Bombyx mori: one gene and its partner. The protein of the gene in region 1 interacts with the protein of each later gene in a pairwise test. Links are inferred from orthologs where the notes say so. Each region holds a gene or a part of one and is shown on either strand. Other genes may lie near its edges.

What was found.
Region 2: the proteins of cleavage and polyadenylation specific factor 5 (region 1) and RpP1 interact in a two-hybrid assay, tested with the Homo sapiens proteins (2 studies listed by BioGRID and IntAct). The link is inferred for Bombyx mori from reciprocal best matches to the Homo sapiens genes NUDT21 and RPLP1.

Annotation. Positions count from the first base shown.
Region 1 is NC_085117.1:3,159,058-3,163,441, reverse strand, and holds the start of cleavage and polyadenylation specific factor 5, read right to left. Parts: upstream 2,890-4,384; 5' UTR 2,793-2,889; coding exon 2,560-2,792; intron 1,926-2,559; coding exon 1,814-1,925; intron 1,341-1,813; coding exon 1,250-1,340; intron 1,101-1,249; coding exon 853-1,100; 3' UTR 1-852. Other genes in the region: uncharacterized protein LOC101742918, read left to right, coding at 3,167-3,272, 3,772-3,940, 4,366-4,384. UniProt on the Homo sapiens protein: Component of the cleavage factor Im (CFIm) complex that functions as an activator of the pre-mRNA 3'-end cleavage and polyadenylation processing required for the maturation of pre-mRNA into functional mRNAs.
Region 2 is NC_085121.1:13,786,887-13,790,190, forward strand, and holds RpP1 (ribosomal protein P1), read left to right. Parts: upstream 1-1,508; 5' UTR 1,509-1,658; coding exon 1,659-1,730; intron 1,731-2,009; coding exon 2,010-2,345; 3' UTR 2,346-2,639; coding exon of another isoform or gene 2,640-2,653; 3' UTR 2,654-2,747; downstream 2,748-3,304. Other genes in the region: mRpS14 (mitochondrial 28S ribosomal protein S14), read right to left, coding at 2,970-3,072. UniProt on the Homo sapiens protein: Plays an important role in the elongation step of protein synthesis.

The DNA of each region.
Region 1 (4,384 bases):
ATTTCTTGAGCTGTAAGGTCTAAATTGCATCATAACAGCTGACCTAATTCATAATTGCGAATAATCAGATTGGTATGCAGTCTGCAACTGAGTCAATTTAAGAGGACAAAGAACAGCTTGGATCTTGGATGCTGAGTGTGGTCTGAACGCTGGTGAATTTATCTCTTTCTGATGCTCCAAGTTTGGGAATGAGAGAATGGTGACAACTCAACAATTCGTTCATTAAATGAAGTCCCTTCTCTGCATATCCCTCAACAAATATCTGTGAGCTAGCAGTTCTAAAGGCATAAGATCTTCAAACACACTGAAGTATGAAGGTATTTTTAAAGCAAATCAAAGTTATATAAATCATGACTGCAGTTAAAAAACAAATAAATTGTCAAATTGAAGTTGTCAAAAAAATTAAGGAACCCCTTTTGTACACATTGTCCCAAGTCCCCCAAGTTATAAAACAATACGACTCTTCTGGGAAATCTCAAGATCCATACCGGTCCCTGCAACATCTTATGCATCTCTTAATAACAACACTCACTTCAGATATTTTCTGTCGCACATAACTATTTAGATATAACATGACAATTTTCTTTTATTGACAAAAATATAGAAAACCTTATCTTAAACTATAGAAAAAATGTCCATTTGCATATATCTATACAAGTTCAATAATGAAGAAAGCCTAAATTGTCCTATGGATTTGGAACAATAATTGGATGTTTTTAGGTAAACATATTATGGAAGGTGATATCCATAGTTGCCTAACACTGAGCTTCGTTGTGGTCTAGCTGCAGAAGTATTGCAGAAACTCATTCCATTTAAACTTTCTTCATCAAACTTCACTTTAAATACCATTTATCACATATAAATGAAATTAAAACGACATAAACTCTGAGACAACGACGATATTATAGGTCCGTATCCCTGAGCATTATCGTACAATTCAAACAATGGTGCCGCAACCAGCTTGTAATTCTTCGGTACAGCGAACAGAGCTCTGTCTTGCAGTTGAACCAGGAATAGGCGCTTATGCTCCTTTGGTTTCGTGATGTGAGGCGGAATGTATGGATATTGCGGTGGTTCGAAATTCGGTCGCCACCAGTTTCCTGTAAGTTTACAGAAAGTTTACATATATTAAGTTTACATATATTATTACATTTTTTTAAAACATAAAATTTTTTTTTTGCTAAAACGTAAAAATAGTCAAAATTCAAGCTTTCACCAGTTTTTCAAGCACTGTTATAGCATCACTAACCTATTGTGTCTTCAATGAGCCATTCCTGTTTGACACCGTCTTGCCTGCCTAAAGTCTCTGTGAGAAGCCTCTTCAAACCATCAATTTCATCCTGGAATTTTAAAAAAATGTAGTCTCGCATTGTTTTTATTAGGAACATCTGAAACACTTGAATGTGCATCTCTTTTGATGGGTACTCAACATACAACTACATAATTTAGATTCTTTACAAACCATAATTATTATTACAATACTGAAAAACTAGAGAATACAATTACTGCTCAACAGAAAATGGGACATAGCTCTTATTAGAGTAGCATATTCTGTTGTTTTGCTCTATATGATATAATACTCAAAAATTATCGACAATGATGACTATATTTAACTTTGTTGGCAGCCTCTTGAGTTGCAAACCCCAAAGAGGCTGCTCAAGTTGAGAAGGATCTGATATTATCGTATGATTATTCCCAGTTAAATTGCGCTTTAAAGATGCAAGCAGAGGCTATTCTGTCTACAAGAGGATCTAGGCTGACTTCTATATTTGTAGTTCTATAGTATAAAGGTAATCCCTTAATCTAGATATACCTCTCCAGGATTCAATTCTCCACCGGGCAACTTGAAAAACGCAGTGCCGAGTTGCAGTAACAGCACATGAGGGAGACCATGTTCATGTACTAATAACACACCTTCGACTGACCTGCAACGGTAATTAAATCCCATCAAACTCACAACTCATTAACGCAATTGGATGAAGCCACAGTGAACCATAACAGAGTTATCAACACTCAATAGGTAGCCCCCCTAATTGTAGGTTAGTCATGTGATAAACTCAGTTGAAGAAAGTGGGTAAGGGCTTGATTATAATGTGGCTCGTCCACAGCTATTATTATTATTATATATCAATACTAGAGGTAAACATAAATGTAAACTGTGTTATCGAGTAATAATATCAAGTTTCCAGCGTGCAAAAAGGTTTTAGGGAAACTGTTTCATCTATACATGTTTAAGTCATGTAATCTACCTGCCATAATTTACAACACTTCACACATTAGTAGTGTTAAGTCTATATTTACAGTACAAGCCCTGATTTTTTTGTCGATTCTTTTCACTAGTGGACCTAGATTGGCTAAGTATATGAGAGAGCTATTTAAAAGCCTAATAAGATATCAACTGTATGATTTTGTATTTAATGAAGTTCTAATATGGTTAGGTAAGTAAAGTGATATGTATGTTTATTATTTTCATAATGAATAAAGCAAACATGTATAGTGGGTACTCTTTATAATCATAATGGGTCGTTTCATACATCGGCTTTCCTAACATAACCTTACCTTCTCATTCCGATTTTACAAAACTCCTCTCGCATCCTCTGGAACCTCGCCGGGACCGACGCGTCTTTCTCGAACAGCGGCTCCTTAGTTCCGAACGTGTAATTCGTAAGCGGATACAAATTAATAGACCTATTGAGAGTTAAATTCATGCTTGGGTTTTGGCTTATTTGATGTTGTAGTCCTGGTCGCGCAGGCCACTGTTTGTTACCGGGAGGCCCTTGAACTGCTGCCATCTTATATTTGATCTTATTTTCAACAAAACCGCGTATGCAGAGATGATCACAACTAAAAATTGTTTTACCAAGACAAACAAGCGTCAGTATTCGGCCATTTAATAATAAGAATTATTAAGAATTATAATTAGTGACGTTCACGGGTGTGTGTTGTAACTCCGAGTTGTGATTTGGCAAAAACGACATCGGCCAATACTCGCCTCGATTTAAGCTTTTAGTCGATTACGTTAAAAAAGTTCTTACAGACTTGTCCAAGTCAAACCTTAACTTTGACAGTTTGAATAATTTTGACAGTAACTAATTTTTGTTTTGAAGTAATGTGCAATTGCATTTAGTTTTGTTTTTTTTAGTTTTATTGTGAATAATTCATAGAAATGTCTGAGCATTTAGAATTCATATCAGAGAATATATCACAATGGTCTGCAGTTTCGAAAGTCACACCGGAAATACAGAAAAAGGAAATAAGACCATTCGTAATTTGTATGTACACATTTTTTTTTATTGCACCCATTGACAATTTTAAAGAAAAGTACTAATAAAGAAGAAGGTTGAAAAAATAAGAATAGATTATTATTAAATTATAGTTAAGAATGCTTAAACTCCAGATTATTACTAGAAACTGTGAATATACCATGGATTCCTTAAGCATTATATTTTCATTGTACACTTTTAACAAGTGGATTGTTTGGAAGAGCGACATCTGGCAACTTGAGCCTGAAATAAAAAGGACTAAATTAAATAATAAGATTACACACATAAGTATAGTAATTTAAAAATATGATATATAAAAAAAAAATTGTCTTAGACCAATGTCTAAGACAAATTGCTAAACTAATTATGTATCACACGATATCTTAATATAATATGTACTCATGTTATTTAGACGGACTAGAGCGATTGTGTAGCAATTAAAAAAGATCTTGCAACTTAAGCAATTTAAATTAGCTTTTCTTAGCTTATCTTATAATTCTAATTGCAGTGTCTCTTAAAGAATTAGAAGGAATAGAAGATGAGAGATTATCGAGTCTAATGAACGCAGAAAAGTTTGCTGCGGTCAGAGCTATCGTCAGGCACTTTGCAAGACTCCGATCGGCAACCAAAAGCTTATGGGGCCAAGATGATGTAAAAACATTTTTAGATGGGCTGCGGTTAGTGCTTGTGAGTTTACTTTAGTGATAGTTTGGCTCTCATTATAAAATTAATGTGGAAACCATGAGAGTAATGGGGTTAGCTCAATTGCAGTAATTTAATAAAAAGGAGTCTTAGTGAATCCAATCAATATAAATATTAAAAATGTTATCTGACTTAATGTAAGTTTTCTAATTGTTTTAAAAGGAACAAACACTTAGTCTAATTGAAGGACAATGAAGGATGATGGTTAATCCCCAAAACATTTGCAGGGATCTTTTTTTGCAACTGACCATCTGGCTTTTGATTAAGCTCTCTGCTTCACGGTGTTCTCCAAGTACCATGACATGTCACCGTCCCTACCTCTTCCCCCTCTACCTTGCACTACCATTTCCATACATCTCCTAGTAGTCTGTAATAATATTGAAATACTTTTAATTTTCAGTTTTTCCCCTGAGTGTACG
Region 2 (3,304 bases), on another chromosome or scaffold:
AATTCGGAAATACATGAAGTCAGTGTCGGAATTATACTTCGATAAGGCATCAATGCATGCAATGCATGATAATCACCTTATCGTTGCCGCCGCTGACTACTCCCCGAATCCTGAACACGCAGGAGCCAGGCCAGTCACCGTCGACGCCCTAGACACGTCCTTACGGATCCATCGGATTCAATAACCTTTGCATTAGATTCAGCTCAAACACTAGGAGCAGGCTTAGTTACCCCGTTGGCGTGCTTGTCGAACTCAACAAAGAAGTCGACGTGCAACCTAACCCATGCATCAGCCCGCTGAATTTCTCGCCGGATCTTCTCAGCGGGTCACGGTCATAGATACATTCGCGAAGCAGTTGCTCTTGATTTTCTAGGTCTCCTTCGGGGGCGCTCGGGCAGCTGTTAGCAAATCCCACCCCTCCTGGCTGAGCCTTTGCTCGCCCAACTGTCCTAGTGAAAGTGGAAAGGCCTCCGGGCCACCAGTAATCTTTCAATCATAAAAAAAATTGGGCCTTATTATGGGTTCATCTACCAACAATGGCCCAAAACGGTGGTTGCGATCAGAACGCGATTTGGCTGTGCCCCTGGCATCGCTGACTTCTTAGAGCCAGGGAAACCATTCATCAGATGAGCCGCATGCCTGTTAGTTTACAATGACAATAAAAGATAATTTATTTTCATCTTGACTAAATTCTATTCCACATCGAAAGAACAAATCATATTAAACTAACTATATAACTTATAGACCAGTCCAATTTAGATTGAAATACATTAAAACTTTATTAGGTAGGTATATCTTATGCGTATAAAAAACCGAGGGGCCTAAATCAAATATTAAGAAGTGTGTTAATGTTCTTAAAAAGCGAATAAAATTTATTTTAACTTTAGTAAAATGATAACGGTTTCAAATATCATTTTAAACTAGACAAAATAACGCAGATAAAGTATTTAAAAACTCGATACACGATATATAAGCCTATGAATTTTTAACCTACATAAATTCGCTGACCCTCTATATTTTGTCCCAACACAAAGCTTTCATAGAATCCGAATAAAGTGTACACGGTACAACTGGAAGAGATTGATTGCATGCTATTCGTTTTTTTTTTGTGTTATTCCAATAGTTTTATTAACTGCTACATACATAAGTTTTATAAATAGTTTTAATGATTAAAGAACTTGGACTTTTTGGCAGGAACGCGAGGAGTGAAGTTGTGTGTTTTTTTTTATTTTGTCTATTTAGTGTTTCTTCAAGTTTAAATGTGTCAGGCTGTATGTCGGAGATTCAGTTAGTTTATTACAATATGCCGATAACTTGGTTATTTAAATGTCTGACATGTCTTTTCCTTCGTTTTTTATTATTCATAAAGTGTAAATAATTTAAACGGCGAATTATAAAAATCTTATTACTTGACACATGCATAACCGTGTCGGAGCCAAAAAAAGAAGAACAATCCTGGTCATTAAAAATTAGGTATGTATTTAAAAAATGACATTGACAAAATGAAATTATGACATTGACAATGTGACAGTGACAGCTCAGAAAACTGCTAATTCGAACATAACCTCCTTTCCTGTTTCTCTTTGTTGTCAGAACTCAAACGTGCTTGTTCTCTCTTGAGCTAAGGCCTACGGCAACTTGCACGTTCAAAACTAAAAATGGTGTCAAAAGCTGAATTAGCATGTGTTTACTCTGCTCTCATCCTGGTTGATGATGATGTTGCCGTAACTGTAAGTAATCTTAATATTTGTAATTTTAATATTTTAAGGTTATTGAAGAATGTTTGTGTGACTAAATCCACGAACATCACACAAAATAGCTACAAAATCAGAACAACCAAGCATTTGTTTAGCATAGTAAACGTCTATTTTGTTAAAAATTCTGTATATTTTCCATTAATCTTAACTATTCATTTGGCGCCATATCTTTCGTATACTTACTTGTAGTTTTTTTTTCTAAAGTAAATATTTTTATGTTTTTGGAATCTAATGACAGTTTTATTGAAATAGGGTGAGAAAATTTCCACCATCTTGAAAGCGGCGGCTGTAGATGTAGAGCCATATTGGCCAGGTCTGTTCGCCAAAGCCTTGGAAGGCATCAATGTCCGTGACCTGATCACCAACATCGGCTCTGGAGTGGGTGCTGCTCCGGCCGCTGGTGGAGTGCCAGCCGCTGCTGCTGCAGCCGGCGCTCCGGCCGAGGAGAAGAAGGAAGAAAAGAAAGAGGAGGAACCCGAGGAGTCCGACGATGACATGGGCTTCGGTAAGCAATCCATACATATACATGCGATATTCAAAGTTTATTTTTGTTCAGATTTAAGTAGTAATTTATATTTTTATTTTTAAAGTTTTTTTTCCTGGGTAAAACATCTTTAATCTATTAAAACAAAAGTCTATAAAATGAATAACAGTTTCTAGTAAACAAATAAAAGGAGTACTTAATTAGAATGATTTGTTGAAAGATTATTCTAATAACAAAGACAAATTTTATCATAATATGTAAACTTCAATGATGTTTGATCATGTATTAGCTACTGAATCTTTTGATTGAAAATTTTTTACTGAGTATGTGGAGAATTGTTTAGGTCTTAATATTTGTAGTTAACATGTTCATCAATTTAATGTTATTTTCTGTTTCAGGTCTCTTTGACTAAGAAGCTTTATGAAGAAATAAAAATATTCCATTTTGTCTATTGTAAAGCTTTTATGTTATAAGAAACTGACTTTATTAAAATAAGTTAAATAAAACCATTGTCTTTTTCCCTTTTTCTATAATGGCATACGTTTACATGAATAGCAGTGTAGGACTAGTGTTGCCTATGAGCTTGCCTACACATTTAGTGAAATTAGCATAACCAGATTAGCCAATATATAGGTGATTGAACTGTAGAGATATTTGTAAGAAATAAAGAAATTTCATTTAATATTTAATTTAATAACATTACTACTATCATAGAATAAATTAGATTTTCAGCCCCACATAGCCCTCTGTACTCCTGAGAGTTTGTTGTAATCCGCTAGATGCCTCCAGACTATACGACTCATGCGCCATTCCTTTACTATACCTCTGGGTCTGAAATCAATTTCATATTAAACTTTTATTGCTCAGATTGGTGGACGAGCTCACAGGCCATCTGGTGTTAAGTGGTTACTGGAGCCCATAGACATCTACAATGTGAATGCAACACCCAGTTTGAGATATAAGTTCTAAGGTCTCAGTATAGTTACAATGGCTGTCCCACCCTTCAAACGGAAACACATTACTGCTTCACGGCAGAAATAGGCAGGGTGGTGGTACCTACCTG